Linked DNA regions of Saccharomyces cerevisiae S288C. The gene in region 3 interacts genetically with the main gene of each other region. Each region holds a gene or a part of one and is shown on either strand. Other genes may lie near its edges.

The links.
Region 1: mutations in PUT3 (region 3) and VHR1 together harm fitness more than expected from each alone (negative genetic interaction), as found in Saccharomyces cerevisiae (one large-scale study listed by BioGRID).
Region 2: mutations in PUT3 (region 3) and NRP1 together harm fitness more than expected from each alone (negative genetic interaction), as found in Saccharomyces cerevisiae (one large-scale study listed by BioGRID).
Region 4: mutations in PUT3 (region 3) and YLR297W together harm fitness less than expected from each alone (positive genetic interaction), as found in Saccharomyces cerevisiae (one large-scale study listed by BioGRID).

Annotation. Positions count from the first base shown.
Region 1 is NC_001141.2:246,654-254,755, reverse strand, and holds VHR1 (Vhr1p), read right to left. Parts: upstream 4,766-8,102; coding exon 2,843-4,765; downstream 1-2,842. Other genes in the region: YIL054W (uncharacterized protein), read right to left, coding at 1-213; YIL055C (uncharacterized protein), read left to right, coding at 831-2,714; RGI2 (Rgi2p), read left to right, coding at 6,360-6,854; YIL059C (uncharacterized protein), read left to right, coding at 7,841-8,102; YIL060W (uncharacterized protein), read right to left, coding at 7,930-8,102. UniProt on the Saccharomyces cerevisiae protein: Transcription factor that binds to the VHRE consensus sequence in promoters of VHT1 and BIO5, and regulates their biotin-dependent expression.
Region 2 is NC_001136.10:160,495-164,682, reverse strand, and holds NRP1 (Nrp1p), read left to right. Parts: upstream 1-1,528; coding exon 1,529-3,688; downstream 3,689-4,188. Other genes in the region: CCR4-NOT core subunit CDC36, read right to left, coding at 1-393; FAP7 (nucleoside-triphosphatase), read left to right, coding at 641-1,234; SFA1 (bifunctional alcohol dehydrogenase/S-(hydroxymethyl)glutathione dehydrogenase), read right to left, coding at 3,919-4,188. UniProt on the Saccharomyces cerevisiae protein: May play a role in chromatin organization.
Region 3 is NC_001143.9:404,830-414,014, reverse strand, and holds PUT3 (Put3p), read right to left. Parts: upstream 5,472-9,185; coding exon 2,532-5,471; downstream 1-2,531. Other genes in the region: URB1 (Urb1p), read left to right, coding at 1-2,396; ATP7 (F1F0 ATP synthase subunit d), read left to right, coding at 6,026-6,550; ATP-dependent 5'-3' DNA helicase HCS1, read left to right, coding at 6,774-8,825; WD-repeat containing protein SWD2, read right to left, coding at 8,924-9,185.
Region 4 is NC_001144.5:722,452-728,985, reverse strand, and holds YLR297W (uncharacterized protein), read right to left. Parts: upstream 4,943-6,534; coding exon 4,553-4,942; downstream 1-4,552. Other genes in the region: EXG1 (glucan 1,3-beta-glucosidase), read right to left, coding at 1-31; ECM38 (gamma-glutamyltransferase), read right to left, coding at 935-2,917; YHC1 (Yhc1p), read left to right, coding at 3,570-4,265; YLR296W (uncharacterized protein), read right to left, coding at 5,682-6,008.

The DNA.
Region 1 (8,102 bases), on a different chromosome or scaffold from region 3:
TATGTTAATGATGATGATCGCAAGAGTAACAGTGATAATGGTGATGATGATTATTCCCATAAAGAAAACCGGACAATGAGAATCCTGCAATTTACCAGGCGCACGCGGGTTCGTGTATGCGAGAAAATGATACGGATTTCCTGCTTGTCTCACTATTAACGCGTGGCGGGGTAAGACCCAAGGAAGACAGACAAAAAAAGCCTTCGGGGCCATGCCATGTCATTGCCGTGGACTGAGACAATTACAATATTGCTTTTGTTCTCTTTCTTTTGACCCTGTGACGTGTTTCGTAAGAATCCCACTTAAGAGATGAAAAAGAAACGTGGTGGTACTTCGCACCCAGACCATACGTCTTCCACTCTCTTGATGGGAGCGGCGAGCTTCCGCACCCACACATTCTAATTGCCGCGCCTTCCTCCCACCCGTACAGAGTGATATCCCTTGGTACGATTGACCAGGGTGTGTGGCGCAAGCAAATTTTCCGTTTTAGTTCAATGATGTCTTAATTGACACTGCGCTTGTTTTGAGCGATGGGTTCGCAGCCCTGGAAGACCCGCAAAAAATTAGGGGAATGGAATATATTCTCTACTCCATTTTTCAAATGTTACCTTTTGTTTGTGTGCATTGTATTATTCCATAGTCGTAATGTTGGCCTTCTTTCGTGCGCTTTCCTAAAGGTTTTTACGCTTGCTTAACTGTTAAGTTAACAAGACTTCCTCCCACACTTGTTTCTTTCATTTTTTTTTTTTTTTAGATTGGTCTTGGCCTCCAGTTCAGTTGGCTGATACACGAGAGTTTGCTGTCTCTCCTTACAATACGCTTGCTTTATAATGACTCTAGAACCACACTATAGTGCCAAGTCGGCTGCTTCAGCCAGTGCCTTTGTTGCCCGTTCTGCGACCGAAAGCTCAACAGCAAGCACAAAAGCTGCTCCTAGGAAAAAGACGTACTCGCAGTCAAATGGTATTCCCATAAGGATTGATAATCTCCCTCCGGGCAAGACTTGGGCCCAGGTAAAATATTTGATAGGCGGAATCATATACCATACCAATATTTTACAGGTGAAAATGCTGCCTCCAATGACTTCCATGGTTCCTCCTTTTATTACTTTTCAGAGTTGCATTGTCATTCTGAAGAACTCGATAGATAACGAGTCCCTGGAAAACTTACTACTTACTTTGAACACCTACCAATGGGATTATCATGATCTGTTCGTTTACCTGTTGCCGTACACTAATGATTCTCCTTCACTGCGATATCCAGAAATCAGTGATAGCAACAATGACGTCCGGAGTGCTCCCGATGAAACTAAAAGATCTATTTCTCCTCGATATGCAAGCCATGTTTCATCTGTGACACCGCAGCCACCATCCGCTTCTACCCCACCTTCTCAATTTTTCAGTTTTTCTCCTGAAGTGAGCCTTCGAAAGAATGAGAACATAACGCCATTGCCCACGCCTGTTCCCGTACCTGTTGGTGTGCCACCTCTTGCTCCCCCGCCTCATGGTCCATTTTCGACTTCGATGCTACCTATGTTGGGTGCTCCTCCGGGAACGGTACCTAATATGCAGATGCCCTATCAAACTACTCTACCTTCACCAACAGCTGCTGCTACTGCTGGTGGTCCACTTGCTTCCCCTACACACTATCCCCGTCGTCGGCATTTCTATCACCAGAACCAAAGCCAGTTTCAAAAATACATGCATAATAGCCCCAGGAATCCAGATACTGGCACAGGCCCTCGTCTTTCTCAGCAGCATCACCTCTCCTTAAGGAACAATAAGATAAATCCCTCTTATAACGAAATATCTGCCCTTTACAACTTGAACATGGCCTCAAATTCCAATAATAATGGTAATATTCCCACTACAAGTACGAATGGTGATGACCGTGCCCTCCAAGCAAAGAATGGTGGAACAATTACACCTTCACAAACTCAAATAAATCACAAAAGATTAAAGCATATCTTTAACGAGAAAAGCTTTAGAAAACAAATGACGAATAGAGGTATGTGGCAGCTGAAGATCATAAATTTCCCACCCTATATACCTATAGAATTCTTGGAGAAATTATCAGAGTCTGATTTCAATGAGTTAATGAACCAAGAGAAGTTCACAGTTATTGAAATTAAAGAGAAAGGACAATTGGAAAAATTTGGAAGGCTAAGATGGACAGTTCTAAAAGATTTTATAAAACTGAAATGCCCCAAGCTATTAAGACTACAGGAAAGACAGTTTCTACAGCAACAAAACGAAGCATCTTTACTCAATGAATCTATGGACGCTCTAAAGATATCAGAAAATGAGAACACCAACGGGAGTGCAAATAATAGCACATACACAAATGGCGGACCTCGAACATCTATCAATAATACAAGGGAATTCTATGTAGGGGTTTATGAAGATCATGAAGAAGCAACTCTACTGAGGTTTGAATTACCGGAAGATGAATTAGAGGAGTTTAATAGAAATTTGCCAACTACTTTTGCACAAAGTGGAAACGTCTCTGACTCCGAAGGTGATAGCAAGGCGAAATACTTTAAAGTTAGCACAATTGTGTATAATGCCATTGTTGGGTTCCACGATAAAGAGCTGTCTGATTTGACGTTCGAATCCTTACAAGACCAGGAATATTCACTGGGGTACAAAATTCATGTAATGGAACTGCCACCATTTGACGAGGATGAATTTGAAAATCAACGGCAGCAGTTCTAAGCATGGATTAAGAGGATATTATTATTTTATCTTACATAAATATGTACGCGAATTGAAAAAGAAAAAAATATTGTGTAGAATGTGTATTAGGCAGTTATGTATGTAGACAATTTTGTTTTGTATTTTTATCAAAGTAAAGGCTGGAAAACCGGCTGTGGTAAATTGCCATTTTGAAAAGAATTTTTGTTCTTTGTAACGTATGGCGCTGGCACAGACTCGTTGTGGTCATTATTATTTGTGTTGGAGGTGGAGGTGCCAGTGTTTAAAGTAGTGTTGCTATTTTCTTCATTCATTGGCGATTTAGAGATCCTATTAAGGATGTTATCAAAGGCAGTTAAGCTTGATTTTTTTGGATCATCTTTTTCTTGTGGTACCAATGGAATAGAAGGCATAGAGGGGTTTTCACCTATGCATGACATTTTGGGCAACGTAATGGGCACTGGTATTTTTGCATCTTGTAGTGGAATGGTGGAAATGTCCTTAATTACGAGATGAATCTCGCTCGTGGAAAAGGAATCAAATAACTTTGCCAAACTTTCATCGTTCAAGAGGTTATCGTTATGGAAAATACCAAAATTCTTGTTCTTGTTGATAATATTAAATAAATTTTTACAGTTTTCCAAAACTTCAGACACCGTGGGTGGTCCATTGCTCAACTGGTGGAAAGTAAAGGCTTGCTCGCGATCATTAAATCTAATGATCACTCTGCGATTAACATCTTTATTGGCCGATTGAGGCTTCATTGGTAGCGTAGTTAAAAGTGTAGCTCTATTCGATAGAGTGTTATTATTATTCAACATAACGTCACTTGAAACGACAGGAGGGCTTCTCTTAACCCTCTTGTTAGGTGAAGATGATGGTGGTTCTGACGCACAGGAACTAGCCAAAGGATACTGAACCATCACAATATGATGTATGATTTCACTTAAAGGGTAAAGCGTGGGGTCGAAGCCAAAATCCTTGACAATACCACCTATGACCAAATACAGTAGCCTTAGTTGTACCTGAGCCGCGGGGAAATGAGATAAGTTATGTCTTGTAGCGGCACCGAACAGTCTTTGAGACAACAAAGCCAGATTTTCAGGAGAGCACGTCTTGGCAGTGATATACTTCATTGAAGAAGAGACCAAGTTGGAGAAAAATCGTTCGATAACGAATGCAATAGACATTCGGATTGACATTTCACCCAAAATCTCCAGATTTGCGTATATATCAATGGATCCTGCAGCCTGCGAAATGTCCTGACAAGTTCTTGATCTTTGGATTTGTAGGAGTAACTTTTCCCTCAGGAAAAATGGCACGGTAGAATCTATCGGGATGTTTGTGGTAATGTTAGGTTGCTGGCTGAGTGAAGACGTAGCAAAATGTGACAGGTTTGGCCCAGTATATGGGTCCTTGAGAGCTTGTTCTGATAGGGGTACGACATTCGTAACAAGATCGTGCACTAGCATGGTGACTATATCGTTATACTTTTGTTGGGTCGAAGTAACCGATGGAGATGAGTCATTTTGGGTGCCCACGGTTGGAAAAATGGTTCCGTTATGACTCTGGTGACTCATGAGAGGCTGGAACTTGTTTGAAAACTGGAAATCTGCAGCATAATTAGAACTAGGCAGGAAGTCCGAATTGGAGCGCTGGTAGATCGACGGAGAGATCTCGTCGTCAGAAGTAGAATTTGACGAGATGCTGTTGTTGACATTGCCGCCACTGCCATTGGCTATGCTGAGAGCGTAGCGTTTTTTTGATCGTTTTCTATTCCTTCTCACTGATTGCACAGCAGCAGTGACTAACTTTTCGAATTCCTTAGAGCAGCTTACAGGGTATCCAAACTCCGTTCTTAATATTGTAGCAATCTGCTTTATGTTTTGATCTTGTTCGCTTGCCTTATATTGACTTAGTTGGAATTTGTCTATCAGCTCCAGCCTTCTGCTCGAAAACTGTTTCCATTTCTTTTCATCATTAAAATTGAGTAATTCTCTAATCTTATGAGTTGCTCCATTCCCAGAAAACTTATTTATTCTATATTGAGTGAATGTTGGAGGACCGTTCATATGTGTATAGGATATAAGCAACGAAGAAGAATAGGTAGAAAGAGAATAAAGAAGGTTTTAAAGCTATAACTAGTAGAAAAGAAAAATGTAGGAAGGGAATGCGGATGCGTTTATGCTAAGATGCGATGGGGACAATAGAAAAAGAAGAGAAAAAAAAGGAAGAGGAAGAGGTAGTGGTATAGAGAAAGAGAGAGAAAAAAAAAGGCTAGTAGTATTTGTATAGTAGGGAAAGGGCTAGATTAGAACTGAACCAAGCTGACCTGAATTGACTCAATAACACCATTCTCACCCACACAAGTACCGAAGATCCAAAAGGCAAGAATCATGGAAGAGAGCACATTGATTTATAGTAAAAAAAAAAAAAAGAGAAGACGACGGTAGAAAGATTTCAGGGAACATATGGCTTACACTTATGCTGAAGAAGTAAGAGGGAGAAGCGAAGCAAATATAATCTGTCACAATGCACAGTGCGCAAACGTAATCTGCCCACTCAGCTAATAGCTCCTGCCATGATTCTGCTGCGTAGTCTATATGAAAGGAAACGAAGGTCAGAGATGAAAAAGAGATAAAAAAGAAAAGAAACTTCTCCGAGGGGCGCAGAATTCAGGGCAAAACAACATGGAATCGATCAAAAGTCATAGTCACCCACGGAAACGTGGCGCCTATTCCGTGGCAGCTACCCGCCCGCCGCTTGTTCTCAGGGCACTTGTCCACTGCATTCCGATGTTCCGCGGAAATTAGCACGGCCTCTTATCCCCGGCTCCGCACGATTCCCTGTGTCCGTGCATAACGAATGACTCTTGTGTCGTGTTATCCGGGCTTTCTCCTTTTCCTTTCCCCGAGAAAGCAACCGACGCATACGGATATAAGCGGATCCCACCGAAAAGGAGACTCCACGGTCTTGGTGAATAACATCGCGCAGATTATTCTGCGAACCGTGGCTAATAGGAGCATGCCCGAAGAAATGATTATGGGTGCGTGATCACCAATCTGTGTGAGGCTGTCGAAGATATCTGATAATCAGTAAGCGATAAAAAAAAAATAAAAATAAAAAAATAACGACACCAGCAGGATTTGAACCAGCGCGGGCAGAGCCCAACAGATTTCAAGTCTGTCGCCTTAACCACTCGGCCATAGTGCCTAAAACAATGTAGGTTATTTAAGCAAGTATTGTAGATACTTTTCGTAATAAACTACAATGCACCCACGACTCGCGGTGTAATGATGGCATGAAATCATTGAACGAAGTTTTGCGGCTATACGGCTGAAGGACGAGACTAAAGGGACAGGAATTATTAATGCGGGGTATAATTTGAATAGTATTAACGGGCACTGCCGTTTAGCCATCAAATGCTATTGTTGGGGTATTCTCTCTACTTTTTGTTCTTGGCTTGAACCTTTTCGGCGGTTGGCAATCGTCCGTATATAAGCATCGGCTGTCCCAATCCTCTATTGCCCTTTTCCCTTGCACCTCCTTCTCAATTCTTCGTATCTTTCGCGTAAAGGTAGATCTTGATTCACCTATCTGTCGAAACACGATTAAGTGCAAACGAAACAACGTACAGTATATAACAAAGTATTTTAAATAATAAGAATGACGAAAAAGGATAAGAAAGCAAAGGGTCCTAAGATGTCCACCATCACTACAAAAAGTGGTGAGTCCTTAAAGGTTTTTGAGGATTTGCATGATTTTGAAACATATTTAAAGGGTGAGACGGAAGATCAAGAGTTCGACCATGTCCATTGCCAACTGAAGTACTATCCACCCTTTGTCCTGCATGATGCGCATGATGATCCGGAAAAGATCAAAGAGACTGCCAATTCGCACTCTAAGAAGTTTGTTCGCCATTTACACCAGCATGTTGAGAAGCACCTGCTAAAGGACATCAAAACCGCTATCAACAAGCCAGAATTGAAATTCCACGATAAGAAAAAGCAGGAATCCTTTGACCGGATTGTTTGGAATTATGGCGAAGAAACGGAGTTGAACGCCAAGAAATTCAAGGTGTCTGTCGAAGTTGTATGTAAACACGATGGCGCAATGGTAGATGTTGATTACAAGACAGAACCCTTGCAGCCACTCATCTAAGTTTGGGGAGCTGTTTTTATGAATTAACGAAATTTTATGAATTTACGAAATATAGCATGCTATATAAAATAATTTATATGCGCATGTATTTTGGTGTGCACCTTCTTACTGGAGTGTATACAAGTCTACAAATCAACACATGTGGTTTTTTTAATGTTTTGTCGTCACAACGCGACCTTAAATAAAAGAATTCCACGCTAGATTCATGCTACTATCACGAACAATACGTACCAATTAAGCTTTCTTGGTGTAATAAAAAAAGAGAAATGTACACACCACCATGATTCCGTTTACGTCTTGCTTTTCTACTTGTTTCGCTCATGGGTTCTCATCAGCTCTATTGTGTGTGCCCTCTTTGTAGATAATTAAACACATTGAAAAAAAAGAAAACGAAAAGATGGCACACGGCTTGGTCATCGAGTGAAGAAATGAAACTTCAAAAAAATTGCCGGACACTTAAACCTTAACGAGTTATACAGAACCGTATCCAGACCTGGAGCTGGGCTATAAGAAGAAGCGACAATATGGTATACTAAATTTCTGGACTCGTAGTCACTCAGTCTGTTTGTCAGTAAGTCACGTAGACCTGTATCGGCAGTAACTATGGTATTTTTTCCAGATTAATTATTATACGATGTTGTTACTTCGATAAGGTCACAACAGGTTTTCCATTGTTGAGAAACTGACTTTGATTATTATTTAGTTAGTAGGCAACTGTCATGTTGCAACCACAACAAGCAACAATCCTTTCACCATGACTATTATAAGCGGCCGGCAAAATTGCCGGGAAAACTGCCAGGGATATAATGCAACCTTCATTTGAGCACTTAAAATAGAAGATAACGTTGGTAAACCCCCCTTGATAGTGGACACATCCTACGTAGATCTCTCTACAGCCAAGTCGTATATATAGCAGCAAATTGCAACCAACCACATGGGACATAGGAATGAGTGGTTTTCTCAGACCCTGAACGTGACCGTCCATCATGAATTTCTCCACAGTTTTTCAAGCAATAATCGCGGTTTTAGGTTTAACTACAGTCACAGCTTTAGCAGAATTTGATTTCGACGTAGGCTATGAAGAGTTTGTCCGTACCAATCCTGATACGATTTTCTTAGAGAGTGATATTGGCCTGCACGTTGGATATACCGAGGGTGGCGAACGACAGATAGCAACGATACCACACAATTCCACGCTAGGGACTTCACTACGTGAGTATAGTGGCTGTGGTGGTAATGGTACAGAAA
Region 2 (4,188 bases), on a different chromosome or scaffold from region 3:
TTCCAAATACGTTAGTTCCTGGATGACTGTACCAGGGTGTTTATAGAAGAGGAAAAATAGAGTTTCATCTTGAAAAAGGGCAACACGCTGTTGGTCATTTTGGATGGAATTGAAGCATGGTGGAGTTACAGTGGATTGTAATACGCCCGGAATATTGGTGAATGATTCTGGTGTGAAAAATCGGGGCTCCACTTCGCTTCTGGATGTTTCTGCCCACGGTGATTGAAAAGTATCGAGGACTCTGTGATCTTGTGAATCTCTTGGAATACCCAACGAATATAGCATCGACGATAAGTCCGCTCCTAAGGTCATGGAATGGTCATATGTACTTGAAAGTTCTTTGTCCTCTAGCTTAAGGAGCGGTACTAGCGCTTTTAAACCAAATTTTTCCATTATGTAGGGAATAGTATATTTTGATTCTCTTCTCTTCCTGTTTTTCCTTGTGGTTTTTGCATATCTAGTTTAAAAAATGCCTGTTTTGCTATTATCTTATTAATGTTCGCCTCGCTTTTTCGCAGTTATAAAAAAATACTCACATAATAATATACTTCATAACAAAAGAGCTCACTCTTTATAAATCATACACAAGACTCGTAGAAAGGAACTATTAGAAAATAAAGAAATACTTTGTTATATAAAGATGGAAGCAAGACGGTATGGACCGAATATCATTGTTACAGGAACACCAGGATGTGGCAAGTCGTCTACGTGTGAGTTTTTAAAAAATAAACTGAAGGATTACAAATACTATAACATTTCGGATTTCGCCAAAGATAACGACTGTTTCGAAGGATATGATGAGGGCCGTAAATCGCACATTGTCGATGAAGACAAACTGCTGGACATGCTAGAGCCTCTTTTGAGACAGGGAAATAGTATTGTCGATTGGCATGTCAATGATGTGTTCCCAGAGAGGCTGATTGACTTGGTGGTGGTGTTGAGATGCGATAACTCTAACTTGTATTCAAGATTGCATGCAAGAGGCTATCATGACTCTAAGATCGAGGAAAACCTCGATGCCGAGATTATGGGTGTCGTCAAACAGGATGCCGTGGAATCATACGAACCGCACATTGTGGTAGAGCTACAAAGCGATACGAAAGAAGATATGGTATCTAACGTATCCCGTATTGTTGCTTGGGAAAAGATGTGGTTAGAACAACATCCAGATGGAGTCACAAATGAATATCAAGGGCCTCGTAGCGATGACGAAGACGATGAAGACAGTGAGTAGGCGTTCCATAACTTTGTGTATCTACATATATACATATATAATTGTAAATTAGTAACAGTAGTAATAGTAGTGCCTATTATAAAGGGTTTTCTTTAAGTAATGTCATGTACTTGTTTAATGTGACTTTGGTAATATATTTTCATTCTCCGATGCCGATGCCCAGTGGAAAAGTTTAAAGTGAAAAATTTTTCAACACATACAAGTTTAATAAGTTGGTTTTGATGCAAATAGCATTACTAAAGAAGAGCGCTAGGATAATTGTGCATTGCTATTGTGATTTTTGATACAGAAATTATGCACTATGTGGTACTAGAGCTGCAAGTTGCGCATTTGCCAGATACCCCCAAGGATCAATGTCGCATTGCGAATATAGCATTTCAAATTGTGAATGCTGAAACATTAGTATGCCATTATGGGACCAATTCTTTACCGAGCATTGAAGTAAACGGGACGACAAAGAGTTTGGAGAGTGCAATGGTGCAATTGGACAAGGATATTCATGACGTTATTGGTAACGACGACTTTGTTCTTGTTTCCCTGTATTCAACATGGCATATCCGTGTTACCTTACCACGTCAAGCGAGAGATGATGGGTTTATTCTTACTTCTTATTTACAACATCCGAAAGTATTTGACTTATGGAAGGAATTCGATAGATGGTGTGTCAACCATCCGGAGATTTTGGGACAAAAGAAAGCAATCTCCAACAACAATTGTAATACTAAAAGTATTAGTATTAATGCAGCCAAAAATACGAAGGATTTGGACGAAATAGTTAGAATATTGGAAGTTTCAATCCCAACTGAAGAGGCAGGCTCTGTTCCAGAGATATACTCTCTTTTAAAAAGGACAACGGATATATTAATACAATTGCACAAAAAGTGTACTTCCCCTGAAGATATGGAATCTGTCTTAACAAAACCATATGACTCACACACCGATATTAGAGCGTTTTTGCAAGAGAAATCTAAGATTTTGTACATGAACAATTTACCGCCCGACACAACTCAAAGTGAGTTGGAATCATGGTTTACCCAATATGGTGTTAGACCAGTTGGGTTTTGGACTGTCAAAAACATCGTAGAAGATACGTCTAACGTTAATAATAACTGGAGTCTAAATAACAGTCCCTATGTGGAAGATCAAGATAGTATCTCAGGATTTGTTGTCTTCCAAACACATGAAGAAGCAACTGAAGTACTAGCGTTGAATGGGAGATCAATCCTATCTAATCTGGCAAACACTAAGCAACCAAGGGTGGTGGAACATGTCCTTGAGCTTCAACCTTCTTCCACCGGAGTACTCGATAAGGCTCAAGAAATTTTATCGCCTTTCCCTCAAAGTAAAAACAAACCAAGACCAGGTGACTGGAATTGCCCATCTTGTGGTTTTTCAAACTTTCAAAGACGTACTGCATGTTTTAGATGTTCTTTTCCGGCACCATCAAATAGTCAAATACATACTGCGAACTCAAACAATAATGTTAACAGTAGTAGAAATAATTTAAACAATCGCGTGAACTCGGGATCTTCAAGCAATATTAGTAACACTGCAGCGAATCACCCCTATGGTGCCCCTGAGTTCAACATGATTGCTAACAACACGCCAGCAGCTTTAACATACAATAGAGCTCATTTTCCTGCAATTACGCCATTGTCGCGACAAAATTCATTGAACATGGCACCATCGAACAGTGGGTCGCCGATAATTATAGCGGATCATTTTTCGGGAAATAATAATATAGCCCCAAATTATCGTTATAATAATAATATTAACAATAACAACAATAATATTAACAATATGACCAATAATAGATATAACATTAATAACAACATCAACGGTAATGGGAATGGTAATGGGAACAACAGTAATAACAATAACAATCATAATAACAATCATAATAACAATCATCATAATGGTAGTATCAATAGTAATAGTAATACCAATAATAATAATAATAATAACAATGGTAACAATAGTAATAATTGTAATTCCAATATCGGTATGGGAGGATGTGGCTCCAACATGCCATTTAGAGCAGGAGATTGGAAGTGTTCCACGTGCACGTATCATAACTTTGCTAAAAACGTAGTGTGCTTACGCTGTGGTGGTCCAAAATCAATAAGCGGCGATGCAAGTGAAACCAATCATTACATAGATTCATCAACATTTGGACCAGCGTCGCGTACTCCCAGTAATAACAATATTTCTGTTAATACTAATGGTGGTAGCAATGCTGGTCGCACCGATGGGAACGATAACAAAGGTCGTGATATTAGTTTGATGGAATTTATGTCACCACCGTTATCGATGGCAACAAAGTCAATGAAGGAGGGAGATGGGAATGGTAGCTCGTTTAACGAGTTCAAAAGTGACAAAGCTAACGTTAATTTTTCCAATGTTGGTGATAATAGCGCTTTCGGTAATGGTTTTAATAGTTCAATACGTTGGTAGTTAGGAACAGGCGAGGTCAATAAATTTCACACAACCACATTGTATTTTTTATTTTTACACTTTTATATATTTATATACTTTTTCTACCCTTACTTTTTTCTTCAGGTCTAACTGATTGCTGAAGAACGTAATTGTGCGCATATATATGATATTTGATAGAATGTAGGACGTTGATTTTCAAAGTATTCCAGAAAATTTGAGTCATGCTTACTTAGTTTAATTAAGTACTCCTATTTTATTTCATCAGACTTCAAGACGGTTCTTAAGCAATCACCGTTATGCAAATCTTCAAAGGCTTGATTGATTTCTTTGAATGGTCTCCTGTGAGTGATAAATTCTTCGACTTTTAAGGCACCTTTTTGATAGTCTTTAATTAAACCGCCCATTTCAGATCTACCTTTGATGCCACCAAAAGCAGAGCCTTTCCACACTCTACCAGTGACCAGCTGGAACGGCCTTGTAGAAATTTCTTCACCAGCGGCAGCCACACCAATGATAAT
Region 3 (9,185 bases):
TACTGAACAAAGCTGCAAATGAAGATCCTGCTTCAATTAAGGAAGTAAACATCTCTTTGGCTAAATTTTTTGAAGAAAACAAAGTTTGTGTTGATGCTTCATCTGATCCTATGGGTAAGCTATCCCTTTCAGAAACTACTTCTCTGATAAATAGTTTTGTGTCTAGTGATTTGAATTATCTAGTACTGAAAGCTTTTTACAGATGGGAACATTTTTCTTTCCCATCTTTCATACCAAGTATCTGGAGGATCAAGGATTCACCTTTACTAAGTATTGTAACAACGGCTGCTTTGTTCAAGCACATGCAGGATAAAGATTTTAGCGCATTTGCGCATGAAACCATTTCCAAGTATGGTAATGAAATTGCGAAAAGTACTTACACTACCTCGAAAAGTGAGATTTTTGACGAAATATTAAATATGATTACCACTTATATTGATTTCTATGACGAAACGAAACGAAATGAAATTTTGAAATGTGTTTTATCACAGAGCGACCATAAATATCATGCTGCTACAGTAAGATACATAGCTGCACACAATAATTTTACTTATCCAGGGGTAGAAACATGGTTACATAAAACTCTTCTTTACCTTACAAAGTACCTTTCAGAAAGAAAAGTTATCTCCAATTCTTTTTTTGAGTTACTAAGAGCGATGGCTGAGCTCTTAAAACTTGAAGAGGTACCAAATAAGTTGAATGTCAAAATCATTAATTCTCAATTAGAGGCTATTCTAGGCAGTGAGTGGATCAAACAAATTAAGGTTCTTGAATACGTTATTGTATTAATTTTTTGTGTGAGCAAAAAGTCAATTCAATCGCAAAGAATGGTTCAACTTTTATTAAGCAATGACAGTTACTCATCAATAATGATTAAAGACAATGATGAAGATTCATCGTATCGAAAGTTCTTAAGCACAATGATATTATTCTCTTTATTCAGCATCGACCCGGTCGTAAATTCGACGCCAATAGTTCAAGAGAAATTATTGACTTTTTACTCCGGTACTATTTCCAGTAACGACAAGTTGATACTGAAAATTCTAGAAACTATCGAATCTCACACCGCTACTTCATGGACAAACATGATTTTTTCTTGGGAATTTATCAAAGACGAAGAGGAAGAAATCTTGGAAGCCATTGGAGACACGAGGCTGATTACCAAAGAAAGGGAGGGGTTGATACTAACACTACAAAAAAACATGATCAAAAAGTCCATTGACAGATACGTATTGGAAAGGCCTCAAGTCCCTGAATTATATACCGATTCTAATACAAACAATTATGATGCTACTACAAGGTGTGACCTAGTCAAAAAGTACTACGATGATACCGAACGATCTGGTGTTGATATGTACGATCCATTATTTTTACTGCTATTAATAATCCATAACAAAGAGCTGGTAAAAATGGTCAAAGATGACGAGGGCAATGTAACATACAGATATGAATTTGAAAATTTCCTTGATTGCAAAATATTTCAGTTTATTATTTGCTCATTAAGCGATTGTCATACCGTTGCCAATATAAGTTACGAACATTTATCAAATTTAGCTTCTTCTTTGGAGAAGAAAACTGCCCAGATGAATCTTGAAAAGCAAATAACTAGCAAGGATAATGAAAGAAAAGAATCTGATAGCGATTTAATCAAATATAATAGCATTTACCAAGTGTTGATTAAAAGGATTTTATACCAGAGACAACAAAATCAAGATCCTATCAATCCGTTAATTTGGTTTTCTATCTCTAGAATTGTTGATCTATTGGGAAGTCCAACTGCGCCCTTACATGAGAAGGCATACCGCTGGGTATTATCAAATTCTACCATACGTAGTTGGGACATCCCTATGGTATCTGATGTGATGATGTCCTACAATAAGAGACAACAAGATGACAATAAGAAAGAAATTGATATGGAAATATACTATGGAGAATTGAGTTGGGTTTTAACAACCATTTGTAAGGGAATTAAAACGGATGAAGATTACAAGATGTTAGAGAAGAAAGGTGTATTTGAATGGTTGTTAAACTTGATCAATATGCCATACTTGAAAGAAAGATTACGCGAACTAATCTATTTTATTTTTTACAAAGTCCAAAGGGTAGCAGATGATGGTGGTTTGAATTTAATTAGCAGAAACGGTATTGTGTCGTTTTTCGAGGTTTTGAACAATAACATCAAATCTAGACTACCACAGGACGATATACTGAACAACATTGGTACTTTACGGAACGAAAACAGAGGTACATTAAATACTACTTTGAGGTTAGCCCAAGAACAAAACGGAATTGAAAAACTACTATTAGGCTACAACGAGCTTGTCAAATCACAAAAAAGGCTAATATTATGGACAGAAGGTGATAGCGACAATGTTGTCAAGAGGCTACGTAAATGAGCTGTCTTGTGATAGATATTTTAAATAAGATTTGAAGAATTAAATGTCCACTTTTCTATATAATGTGCGAAATGTATAATATATGCATAAGAAAACAAAGAAATCAGTATTTTCTTCTTTGTCTTTGTAATGGTGTTATGGTCCTAAATAATCAGTAAAGTCAATTTCACTACCAGCAGCTGCAGTTGGATCCATAGTATTTCCCAGCCACATTGCTTGATCAGTGATTTCCTTCCAAAGTTTTTCATCGGAATGATCAATATTGCCTAAATCCTCCAACAATTGTTGTAAATCGTCATCATTTAGATTATGAACGGAATCCAACTGATCCATGTTTTTTTCCATCACCTGAGAGCCCTTTTCAGTTAGCGTGGTTTGGTATGAATTTTCCAAGCTCGCAGTTATGATATCAAAAAAAGTAGAAGGTTCCGAGTTATTGACGTTAATATCATTAACATCATTATTACCATTACTATAATCAGTCAGCGTTGGTTTCGCGCCTTCCGGAAGTATGCTAACAATGTTCGATATAGATTCGTTCTTGATCATATTTGTATTGGTGTTTGATTTATCACAGTCTATAATTGAAGGGTCAATGCGATCGCCATCTTTGTGAGGTTTACACTTTTCGGTTTCTCTTTTGGGTTCATTGCTATCTTCTACTATGTTATCGTTTTCACAATTCATAGAATCAAATTTCAAAATATCGTTATATTTAGTAATCAAGTCATTCATTATGCCGTGGAAATCCAAATTTGCCATTAATGTTAATAATTGTGCTCTTCTTAAGCCTGCTGGAATGTTGCCTAAGTTTCTCATTTGTGTGAAAATTTCCAGAGAATGATCCAAATGATATAGTGTTTGTTCATGAATACCAAAAGCAGTGTTGAATAGTAATAAAGTACAAGAAGAAGTAAAAAGATACTCTCTGTCCATATAACTAAACATAGCAAGCATACTATTCTGTAATAAACTCCACAGAGACCTAATAGTATTCACAGAAGCATGCAAAGAACATGTTAATAAGGAAGATATTGTGGCAGAATAGTTTTGTAAGTTGACGAAAGTATTGCTCGTTTTGAACCTTTTCAATTGAATGGATGCAAAATGAAATAATAAAGGTCTCACGGCCAAGTTTATTCCTTGAAAATATTCCGTAAACATATTGGTTGACAATCTCGATATTTTGAAATCTTCATCCTTTTGCGTAAAATCCACCTGTAAGGAATCGGACAAATTGTTCCTCCATTCCAACAACTGCTTGATGACAACTTTCAAAGTAATTATGATGTTTGTCTCAGGTTGCCTTTGATATAATTTGCTCAAAATTTGTGCATTGATTTTCACAATAGTAACGCAGTTAGAAATCAATTCTGCCTTTCTGAAAACATAGTGACTATTTTTCTCTTCGATAGTTTCATCATCAATATCCGCTGGCAGTGCTGTAGAGATTGTATAATCAGTGAAACTTAATGGTAACCCAGCTTTTGAGCTAAGCATTCGTTCAAACATGTAAACTGTCCACCAAAGTCTCCTATGATGCTCGATTTCATACCTGGATAGAGTGTCGCTTTGAGAATCAACATGTAAGCCTAGAATTAAGCACGTCCTTAGGGCTTGACCGAAGTAAAAATAAGAGGCTAAAGTGTAATCAGCCACCTGTAAGAAGAACGCGTATAACAACAGGACTTCAATACCGCCTTTCTTAGTCACATTTTCTAATCTTTCACTTGAGAACAAACAATTAAAAATTTTAGAACCCATTTGAAAAAATTTTGAACCGGGCAATTTTGGCTGATTAGAATAATTCTTCAACATTTCATTATTGATGGAACCCAGATACATTTCACCTACTGCTAAAATTAACAAAATTTTGCAAAACCAAACAGCTTGTAAAATTGGATCATTCTCATTGTCCAAAGCTTTTTTGGTATTATCATAGTATAGCCATTTATTTTCCAAGTACAATTTGTTAATGCCACATTTAACCAGGCCTTCGTTGAAAAAGTAAAAACAACCATCGTTATAATTTATAAAGCAGTCAATTAATAGTTTTGTGTAATTATACGAAGGCAACTGAAACTGTATTACCTCTTCCTGGCCACTACTACCATCCGTATCGCTTTTCAAAATTATCTTAAACATCAATGGAGATAAATTATCGTTGATTGAGTTTAAGTTGACAATAGTCGATATAGGGTTCAAAAAATTATAGGACGAGAAAAGATAGTTGTTTGAATTGATAAAAGAACTTATAGCCGGGTTCAGGTTTGAATTTAAAATCTTGTTTTTGGTGTTTATTGGCAAAGGTCGAAAATTCTTGACCGAAATATACTTTGTAACCAAAGATTGAATTTCTAACCCAAATAATGTCATTGAAGAAGATCCAACAAAATAATGGAATCCATTGTGAGATTCTATGAGCCTACCACTTCTTTGAGCAAAATTTGTTGATATTTCTTCATCATCTTCATCATCATCCTCATGACCATTGGCACCGTTGCCATTTTCGCCATTAGCATTAGCTGGTTGTTTAAAGATGCTGATGGCCTTTTTGTAGTATTTTTCCAAACTATGATCATAGCTCCTATTATTTGTGATTCTGTTGCTGTTGTCATCGTCGTTATCGTTATCGGACGCAGTGTTACTATTGGACATGAGGTCAAATATAGGAGCCGCCGGAGCGCTGGATACTTCCAATGTGTCACTTGAGGGTGCATTGTTTATATGCCTCTCGTCATCATCGCTGTTATCCTTACCACGTACACTCACTGGTCTCTCCAAGAGCAAAGCTTTCAGGCGGTTATTCTCTTCAGTTTTATCATTCAAGTCTTTTTGCAGTTGTTGCAGATACTTTGTCGACACAACAATTTTTTTTGACGGCTCCAAGTACTCACATATGGCATTGCTCGTAACACATTTTTGGCAAGGGTTACCACCAGGACATTTTATATGACGTTTCCTACAAGAAAGGCATGCGACAGAAGATCTCTGCTGCCTTTTTTGCGGTTGTTTATTAACGTAGGCTGGTTGCTTAGATTGTATCGAATGCCTACTGCCTTGGTCGGTCACCATTAAACTCGTTAAGATCACTGCAATTATCCTATCAATGAGTTAGTTGGACCAGTGTCGTATTTATCGTTATTGTAATGGTTACTTACTAATTGCTGCTTAGAAAGCTTTAAATTGCCGCCGAAGTCAAGTATATCATCAAGCACCTGGTGGATGTTTTCATTTTTACTCCAATATTCGCCACCTCATTGCCGCGGAGAAATATCGTTTATAATGACATATCCGATGACTCAATCCCATAAACGAGGTATGGGTGTATATCACGTGATATATTATGCTCACGTGATGACCACGTGACTAATGAGCGGGTTACAAGAATTATTTTCTCTTCGATTTGATTGGATATTTGTCTTGATGCCCCCAAAAAAGTAAAAGATACACCAATTACCACTTGCTGCTTAGCGTAGGTGTAAAACATATTTCTACTAGTACAATACTTTTCTATATAAGTTTATATATTCATATTGACACGTAACGCAAAAGAACAATCTTAGGATTTAAAAGAAATTTTTCGTGCACTTAATTGCAGAATCACCTAATTATATTTTTGTTCGACTATGTCTTTGGCCAAATCCGCTGCTAACAAACTTGACTGGGCAAAAGTCATCTCTTCTCTACGTATAACAGGGTCGACTGCCACTCAATTATCGAGTTTTAAAAAGAGAAACGATGAGGCACGTAGACAATTACTAGAGCTGCAAAGTCAACCCACCGAAGTAGATTTCAGTCATTATAGATCTGTGTTGAAAAACACTTCAGTCATTGACAAGATAGAATCATACGTTAAGCAATATAAGCCGGTCAAAATCGATGCCTCCAAACAATTACAAGTGATTGAGTCTTTTGAAAAGCACGCAATGACCAACGCCAAGGAGACAGAATCCTTAGTTTCCAAGGAGTTAAAGGATTTGCAAAGCACCTTAGATAATATTCAATCTGCAAGACCTTTCGATGAATTAACTGTTGACGACCTGACAAAGATCAAACCTGAAATTGATGCTAAGGTAGAAGAGATGGTCAAGAAGGGTAAATGGGACGTACCTGGTTACAAGGACAGATTCGGCAATTTGAATGTGATGTAGTACCCTTTACCTCTATATATTACGCACCATATTCTATTATTTTTTTCACAGGTTTATATAACTGGCAAATATTATAATTAAACATTCTTACTGTCATATATACACAAATGTGCGCCTGCATATCCTTACGCTAAGAAAATCTTGTACGTTACATATATTTCAAAAATATGAAGGCTGATGTAAAGTTGTCTCTTGAGAAATATAGAAAAAAGAGTAGAGGGAAATGAACAAAGAATTGGCTTCTAAGTTTTTATCAAGCATCAAGCATGAACGTGAACAAGACATTCAAACAACTTCTAGGCTATTAACAACGCTATCTATCCAACAATTGGTGCAAAATGGCTTGGCAATAAACAACATACATCTAGAAAACATAAGATCCGGTCTCATTGGCAAATTATATATGGAACTGGGACCTAACTTGGCGGTTAACGACAAAATTCAAAGGGGTGATATTAAGGTTGGTGATATTGTTTTGGTACGCCCTGCAAAAACCAAAGTAAATACCAAGACTAAGCCCAAAGTCAAAAAGGTGTCTGAAGACTCCAATGGCGAGCAAGCGGAATGCTCAGGCGTTGTCTACAAAATGAGTGATACTCAAATCACCATAGCTCTAGAAGAATCTCAAGATGTTATTGCTACCACATTTTATTCTTATAGCAAACTTTACATTTTAAAGACTACCAATGTCGTCACGTATAATAGAATGGAATCCACAATGAGAAAACTGTCTGAAATTAGTTCACCCATACAAGACAAAATTATACAATACTTGGTAAACGAACGCCCCTTCATCCCCAATACAAACAGCTTTCAAAACATTAAATCTTTTTTAAACCCGAATCTGAATGACTCCCAGAAAACTGCCATTAATTTTGCCATTAACAATGACTTGACCATTATACATGGTCCTCCTGGTACGGGTAAAACATTCACATTAATTGAATTGATCCAGCAATTGCTAATTAAAAATCCTGAGGAGAGAATCTTAATTTGTGGGCCTTCCAATATTTCTGTGGATACGATTCTGGAGAGGCTAACGCCTCTTGTGCCGAATAATTTATTATTAAGAATCGGTCATCCTGCTAGGCTATTAGACTCTAATAAAAGACACTCTCTTGATATACTTAGTAAAAAGAATACTATTGTGAAGGACATTTCCCAGGAGATTGACAAATTAATTCAGGAGAATAAAAAACTAAAAAACTATAAGCAACGTAAAGAAAACTGGAACGAAATTAAACTGCTGCGCAAAGATTTAAAGAAAAGAGAGTTCAAAACCATTAAGGACTTAATAATACAATCGAGAATAGTCGTCACCACTTTACACGGTTCATCATCGAGAGAACTATGCTCCCTTTATAGAGATGATCCAAATTTCCAGCTTTTCGATACCTTGATCATCGATGAAGTCTCACAGGCCATGGAACCACAATGCTGGATCCCACTAATTGCACATCAAAATCAGTTCCACAAACTAGTCCTTGCTGGTGACAATAAACAATTGCCACCCACAATCAAAACAGAAGACGACAAAAATGTCATTCACAATTTGGAAACCACACTATTTGACAGAATAATCAAAATATTCCCGAAAAGGGATATGGTAAAATTTCTTAACGTTCAATACAGGATGAATCAAAAAATTATGGAATTTCCATCGCACTCAATGTATAATGGGAAACTATTGGCCGATGCAACGGTCGCGAACAGACTTTTGATAGACCTACCGACCGTCGATGCTACGCCATCTGAGGATGATGACGATACAAAAATTCCTTTAATTTGGTATGATACGCAAGGTGATGAATTTCAAGAGACTGCAGATGAAGCTACTATCCTTGGATCTAAGTATAATGAGGGCGAAATTGCCATTGTAAAAGAACACATTGAGAATTTAAGGTCATTCAACGTCCCGGAGAACTCTATAGGTGTTATTTCTCCATACAATGCACAAGTTTCTCATCTGAAAAAATTGATCCATGATGAATTAAAATTAACTGATATTGAAATATCAACTGTAGATGGGTTCCAGGGCCGTGAAAAAGATGTTATCATATTGAGTTTAGTTCGTAGCAATGAAAAATTTGAAGTTGGTTTCCTTAAGGAAGAACGAAGACTGAACGTCGCCATGACAAGACCCAGAAGGCAACTAGTTGTTGTTGGCAATATAGAAGTTCTGCAAAGGTGCGGTAACAAGTACCTAAAAAGTTGGTCAGAATGGTGTGAAGAGAACGCTGACGTAAGGTACCCCAACATTGACGATTATTTGTAAAGAATACACAAGATGTATAGAGTATACGTCGTTATACAGTAGGTAAAAAATGTTCGTTATATATTATATCCTCTAGTATATCAATGCAGTAGCAGCAGTCATTCATCGTACACGTAAAAATCTACTGTTTCGTCTGCGGTAACAAACATCGAATATTTAGGGTTGAATGCAATTGACCTGGGGCAGGTCTCATGAGAAACACAGGGAATGAACCCTTGCGGCCTTAATACTTTGTTACTTATTGAATCAGAATGATTCCAAATGGCAATCCTACCGTCATAATCGGTTCCAAGGACGAATTCACCATCTGGTGTGAAACAAGCAGATCCAGAATCTAGAAATTCTCTCATCGGGAAGGCC
Region 4 (6,534 bases), on a different chromosome or scaffold from region 3:
ACGTACACAGTAACGTTTTAAGCGAAAGCATTTTAGTTGGTAATTAACTAGAAAAAGAAAGTAAACAAAAAATCAAAGGCACGTGTTATTCAAAACTTTTGGGTCCTCTCGTAAACTTTAGTTTTCTATAGTTATTTTTGACTTAGTCAATACATAATAAAAATTACTAAGAAAAGGGAGGGAGTATTTAAAACGTCTGCAAAAACATTACTTTTTCCCAAAAATCCATCCAACTTATATACATTTTTTATCATCCACGCCTTTTTATTTAAAGTGCCTTTCTCTGCAACTGCTCATATGACGATATGAGATGGCAAGTTCAAGTTTGTTACACCGCTTATTGATGTGCACACAGGTACGGAACACGCTAAAATTATAACGGCGTGCTCGAGAGAAAAACCCAACAGGGTTGGTCTGGGCATCTCCAGCAAGCCACGGTTTTAAATTGACAGTGCTTCACACTGCGGTGTTGTCTGGGGCGCCTCTGTATTTGCGGCAACGCGCCTGGTTACGGGCTTGTCTCAGGCTCGTGTGCACCGCACTGTAAACACAGGGAGGATGACTGGGTCAGGTCCCCACGGTTTATTTATAGTAAACAACAATGCGCGTATGTGTGCGTATTAATGCTATAAAAAGAAACGCGCAGTATCAAGCCATCAGATTTTTTTAATAATGGTAAATACGTATGCTGGCATCGTTCCGAAGTCGCGTCTCGGCTGCAAGGTAGGGAAACTTACTGAAAAAGGCAAAGCTCGCATGATCTGGATTTTTTGTTTTGTTTTAAGGGCGTATGCCCTTTGTTAATGAAAAGTAAATATTGATTCTTTAAAAATAAACGCAAGCCCAGTATTTATTTATATACCACAGAAGCAGGCTCCCTACATTACGTACTATTATCTTGAACTATATTACAGTACCATTCTTACCCCACATCTTAGTATACGGAGGAGATTCCTCTTTTTCTCCAATAGTCACTCACCGCATGCCATTCTCCCCTGACATTGCGTATAGCATTAACTACGCTCTTGGGAAATACTTCTTTCATCGTATATCCCATTTCCTTGAGAGTGCTTAGTACGGCTTTACCGATCATGGGGAAGCTTTCCAGTTCTATGCGGTCGGGCAGTAACTGGTGGTGTATACGTGGATAGGCTATCGTTTCCAATATAGGCATGTTATACCAGTACGTCCTCACAATTGTTTGTAAAACACTCGTAGTGATTCTTGAGCCGCCGGAAGCGCCGACCACGAGGTCTGGGATGCCTAATTCTGACAGCACAATAGTGGGTGCAGTGGATGATAGGGGTCTTTTCCCGGGCTCGGGAAAGTTGTATATGGAGGGTGCCAATTCAAAACTATTAGATTTGTTGAATTGAGCGAAATCGTCCATTTCATTATTGAAGATCACCCCGGTTTTTGGGTCGTGTACTAAGGAACCGAACAACAAGTTGATGGTGGTTGTCAAGGAAACAGCATTCCCATGTGAATCTACTATACTGAAGTGGGCAGTTCCATGCGGGTTATTGATATCGTATGCCGGATCATAAAGCGTCCAGTTTTCTAAAGTTTTAAAATTTCCGTCTTGAGAGTTTCTTTTGATTGATTTCACTGCTTTCAAAGCCCATTCTGGATCCAATACCTCTTCTATATGCTTAGGTAATGCTTCGCCTTCAAAATCGCCTAACCTGCTTCTTGCGCTTGCCATCCATTTCATGCTTTCAAGCAAATGATAGGTAGTTTCTTTTTCATAATCGCCCCCTTCTTGATTCTGGAAATTATCCATTATCCTTAACGCCGCAAGTAGTGCAGCCCCGGAACTTGAGCCGCTACTTGTTAATACGGTCATATCGTTATCAGGGATGAAATTGGCGCCCTTCCTAATTTTCATGGACAGTGGTTTAGTAACATGAACATCATACGATGAAACATCCTGCAAGTTCATTATTCCATTGTATTTTGCGACAGTATCAATCATGGATTTTGCAATCCAGTGATCGGGGTCATAAAATGGGGCCACGGAACCATTTTTAGCCAGTTCCATTAGCATGTTAGATAGTGCCGGCCTCTTGATCCAATCGCCTTCTTTCAAAACACCGTCATGGGTAGAATTCAATACAAACGACCAATCTTCCTTCAATGTCAGGAAAACATCCTCATAAAGTTCTAAAGTGGCACCGAGTGCTTCGCCTATTTGCCAACCCACGCTTCCCAGCTTTGCGACTGGTTCAATTAGATCACGCCAATCAACTTGGCCGCTACCTCTTTCTTTAAAGAGGCGATAGAGACCCATCAATTCACCTGGAACACCGACAGCAAGACCCCCTATTTTTGAGCATAGAGAGCAGTTTTCGAACATGAACTTATGTGAATCCATGGGTGCTTTTTCTCTAAAATCAATGGATAGATGATCTTCATCGTCTTTGCCAGAAAAAACTACGTAGCCACCACCTCCAATCCCACTATTAAAAAAATTCACCATACCCTTACAAAGAGCTTGTGTTACTGCAGCGTCTGCAGCGTTAGAACCGGGAAATTTCAGGAGTACCTCATTTATAGTCAAATTACTACAGACTTCTAAATCTGAACTTATAGCACCATGCAAACCGACTTTTAGAAGTTGCCTATCAGGCGTTAAACTAGGACGGCGAGGTAAAGGGTCAATATCGATGTTATGGTGATCCTTATCGCCGCCATCATCATCGTCGTCTTTTTTCAAATATTCTGCAATAATGTCAACATCTCGATTGGCAGACCCTCGAAGGAGATTATTTATTCTCTGCAAAGTCTCCTGAGAGGCGAATGATACCATTTTTGACGGCATTCCGGACACTAACACACCCAGTGTTAACAGAGTGAATATATGCAGTATAAAACAGGTATTTAAAGTCTTGGGGACTTTTCTATTACACAACAGCATAACTGTAAGTCTAGTACGCTACTTTTTGTCTTGTCTTTTTGTGTGCCTGACAACGCCCCACTTGAATCTGCGTTAGCTTTTTATTCTATTATTTAAGATAACTGTGCAACAGGAAGTCACGATCGAACTTTACGGAAGAATTATAATATTGAGAAGTGCTAGTACACACAGGCGCACACACACATATATATATGTATCTATATACGTGTATGTAGATTTGGAAGTCGAATAGATAAATGCCGTTATGTTCCCTCAGAGAAAATTGATAAGCGGGCAAAAGGCGGCACTAAGACGTTCGAAGGGGCGGATCTTTTCTTTTGATCAACAACAGGCACAGCCGCTGAGTAATATAGTTATGATTTTTCTAATCTCATGTAGGTAATAAAATCTTAAAAGTTATTTTTATTTTCACTCTTTTATATGTGAATAGAGACACTTGTATAGAGATAATAAACGGTTCAAACTCTTTTCACTTTCATATGTTCCACACAGTACCTTATCATTGAACACTAGATTTCCGCAAGTGTCAAGGTACATAGGCGGGTAAGCGTTAAGGATAACAGAAAATATTCTTGCTATACTGAAGATATAATATGAGCTCCTAGTGTAGGCGATGAAGGTGCTCAAGTAACGGAGAGGAAAGAGATAGGCAATGACGAGATACTATTGTGAATACTGTCATTCGTATTTGACCCATGACACGTTGAGCGTTCGTAAATCGCACTTGGTCGGTAAGAATCACCTTCGTATAACAGCTGACTATTATAGGAACAAAGCAAGAGACATTATTAATAAACATAATCATAAAAGACGCCACATTGGAAAAAGAGGCAGGAAAGAAAGAGAAAACAGTAGTCAAAATGAGACGCTAAAAGTTACATGCCTTTCAAATAAGGAGAAAAGACACATCATGCATGTGAAGAAAATGAACCAAAAAGAACTGGCACAAACCTCAATAGATACCTTGAAATTGTTATACGATGGCTCACCAGGATATTCCAAAGTATTTGTGGATGCTAACAGGTTTGATATAGGAGATTTGGTTAAAGCCAGCAAATTACCCCAAAGAGCCAATGAAAAATCTGCACACCATTCCTTCAAGCAAACTTCAAGATCCAGAGATGAGACGTGCGAGAGCAATCCATTTCCTAGGTTGAATAACCCAAAGAAGCTAGAACCCCCAAAGATATTATCACAATGGAGTAACACCATTCCAAAAACTTCTATATTTTACAGTGTAGATATACTGCAAACCACGATCAAGGAGTCCAAGAAGCGGATGCATTCCGACGGCATACGGAAACCGTCGAGTGCCAACGGATATAAAAGGAGGCGGTATGGAAATTAACGCTATCAGATTAGATTATTAAATATTATATGTAGACTATATTTTGCCAAAAAAAACAATAGAGATATCAACAACGAATGAAAATGGTATGATGAGAATAAAAAAAAAGGAAATAAAAAAAGGAAAATTAAAAAATTGAGATTAGTTGAATTGAAAAAGGAAAAAAAATGTTTGGTATGCGATAATTAATTGAATGTGCACGATCGTTACTATCATGAGAATTAAAATTTAAAATGTCCAACTTTCGGGCGTGAAGAGCGGTGCCATCTATTATATCTATTTTTATTTCATGCTTTTTCAGCAAGTGCTTGCTTTTCTTCATCGTTGGACTGTAGTTTCTTATCATTACTGCTGCCTGAACGGAGAGATATGAATATCATGCCAATCAACCCAAGTAGTAAAACTCCAACCACTACAATAATAAAAGATATTATGAAAACAGCGAGTATGTTTTCCAGTGGTTCATTATCGAGGTTAAAATTTGAGAGATCCGGGGTCCCAGAAACGAGTGTGTGCACATCTCCGCTTGCTTTCTCATCCGAATTTAAAATCTTTGTCAATAATTTAAAGATCTCATCCCCTATGCTATTCTTGACGCTATGATGATCACCACACATGGATTTGGAGCTTAGTAAGGCAATGTTCGATTGCTCATCGACAAAATCACCTTCGACCATTTTCTGTTTTTATATTTTTATCGTACGTAGTCTATAATGCAAAAAGAATAATTTGTTACTTGTGAGAGAGAAAGCGTACGTGTGCGATTGTGAGAATATGTAGATTATTACCACGATAGAGCAAAGAAGAAGGCTCTCCAAAAAGAATTAGTTATCTCACACTACCAACCGAAAGACTTCCTTAATATATATAAATTTAACACGGTCCTTATACGATTTCTCTTTTATATATTACTACTCTCAGGTATTTATTACTTGGTAACCAATTAGTAATACAGAAGGGAACTACGGAGTTTCTCTACAGACTTAACCCTTTTTTCCTTCTCCCAAAAAAATTTCCTTTTTTTTTCCTTTTTGTTTTTGTTTCTGATCTCGCAAAACTCATCTCTTTACTCTTTTCTGTTAAATCGGCCATTCTTGAATGGACGGGTATCTTTTTAAGCCGCAATACGCGTGCGCACTTTTCACTGGTTTCTCCAGACAGCCCCAAAAGAAAGCGCGCGGTGTTCTATTGTTCCTCATTTTTTGCAGTCCGTTTTTCGGAAATCACAAGTAGCTAGCCCTCCATTCGACCCGAACGATGCGGCCACTGCCCTGGATTATGGCTGCAAAGCCCGACGAGTTTCGAGTCAGCAGGCCCCGCGGCTATAGCTCGAGGATGTGTTCTCGTTTTGTCGCCCTTGAGTAAAAGAAAGCGACAAGGTGTGCAATTGTTATGAGTAGGATTCAGTTATAATTATCACTTAGCATTTGTTCTAAACATGAACACACAACGAATGCCTGTAAACACGCTTGCCGCGCTAGACATGCAAACGATCCTCAAAAAAAAAAAAACGCTCGTATGAAGACCTAATTTACGTATTTTTTTTTTTTTTGTTTTTCGTTTACGCGTTAATTGATCGATTATGAGCTTTTGGGGAAAAGTAATTGCCGCAGCGGCTGTCGTACCGGAAGAGTGTTGTTTTTCATTACCAAAAAGGGATAATAGTGGTTCCTTTATGTGACATTGGTAAGCTGATTGGGCATAATTACTTGCCTGATGACGAATAACGCGAGAACTGCCCATATAGAATCTGACGACGTAAGGAGAAGAAAAAGCGGGAAACGGATTTCTCGTTCTAGGCCTCGGCGGCTCTTAAAATTGTAAAATGAAAATGAGAATAAAATTAAACTATACACAGCTGATCAGCGTTCTAATGAAAAAAAAATGCATTGGAAGGAAAAGCCGAAATACTTCATTTTCTGGGCATTGACGTTCTGTTGCCTCTTGTGCATACACACTTGTTTTTATTGAAATCGAGCTTATTGTAAGAGAACTTGCGCTTATCTTCAAATGCCGCTTTCCTCGAAAAAGCATTTAAACATCATTCAAGATTATTAGTCTATCAAGCTTGTCCAGACTGCTTGTTATTATGTAAAACAAGTATGTTGGTATTGTATTTGATTGCCGATTCTCATATCGCCATACACGAACCAATTATGCATCATAAAAAAAGCGTAGTTCTTTTACCCGACCAACCAACTTCTTCCTTTGTCCTCAATATCAAAGAAAAAAAAAAAAACCCACTGCTCAGATGTTATAAGGAAGGGGT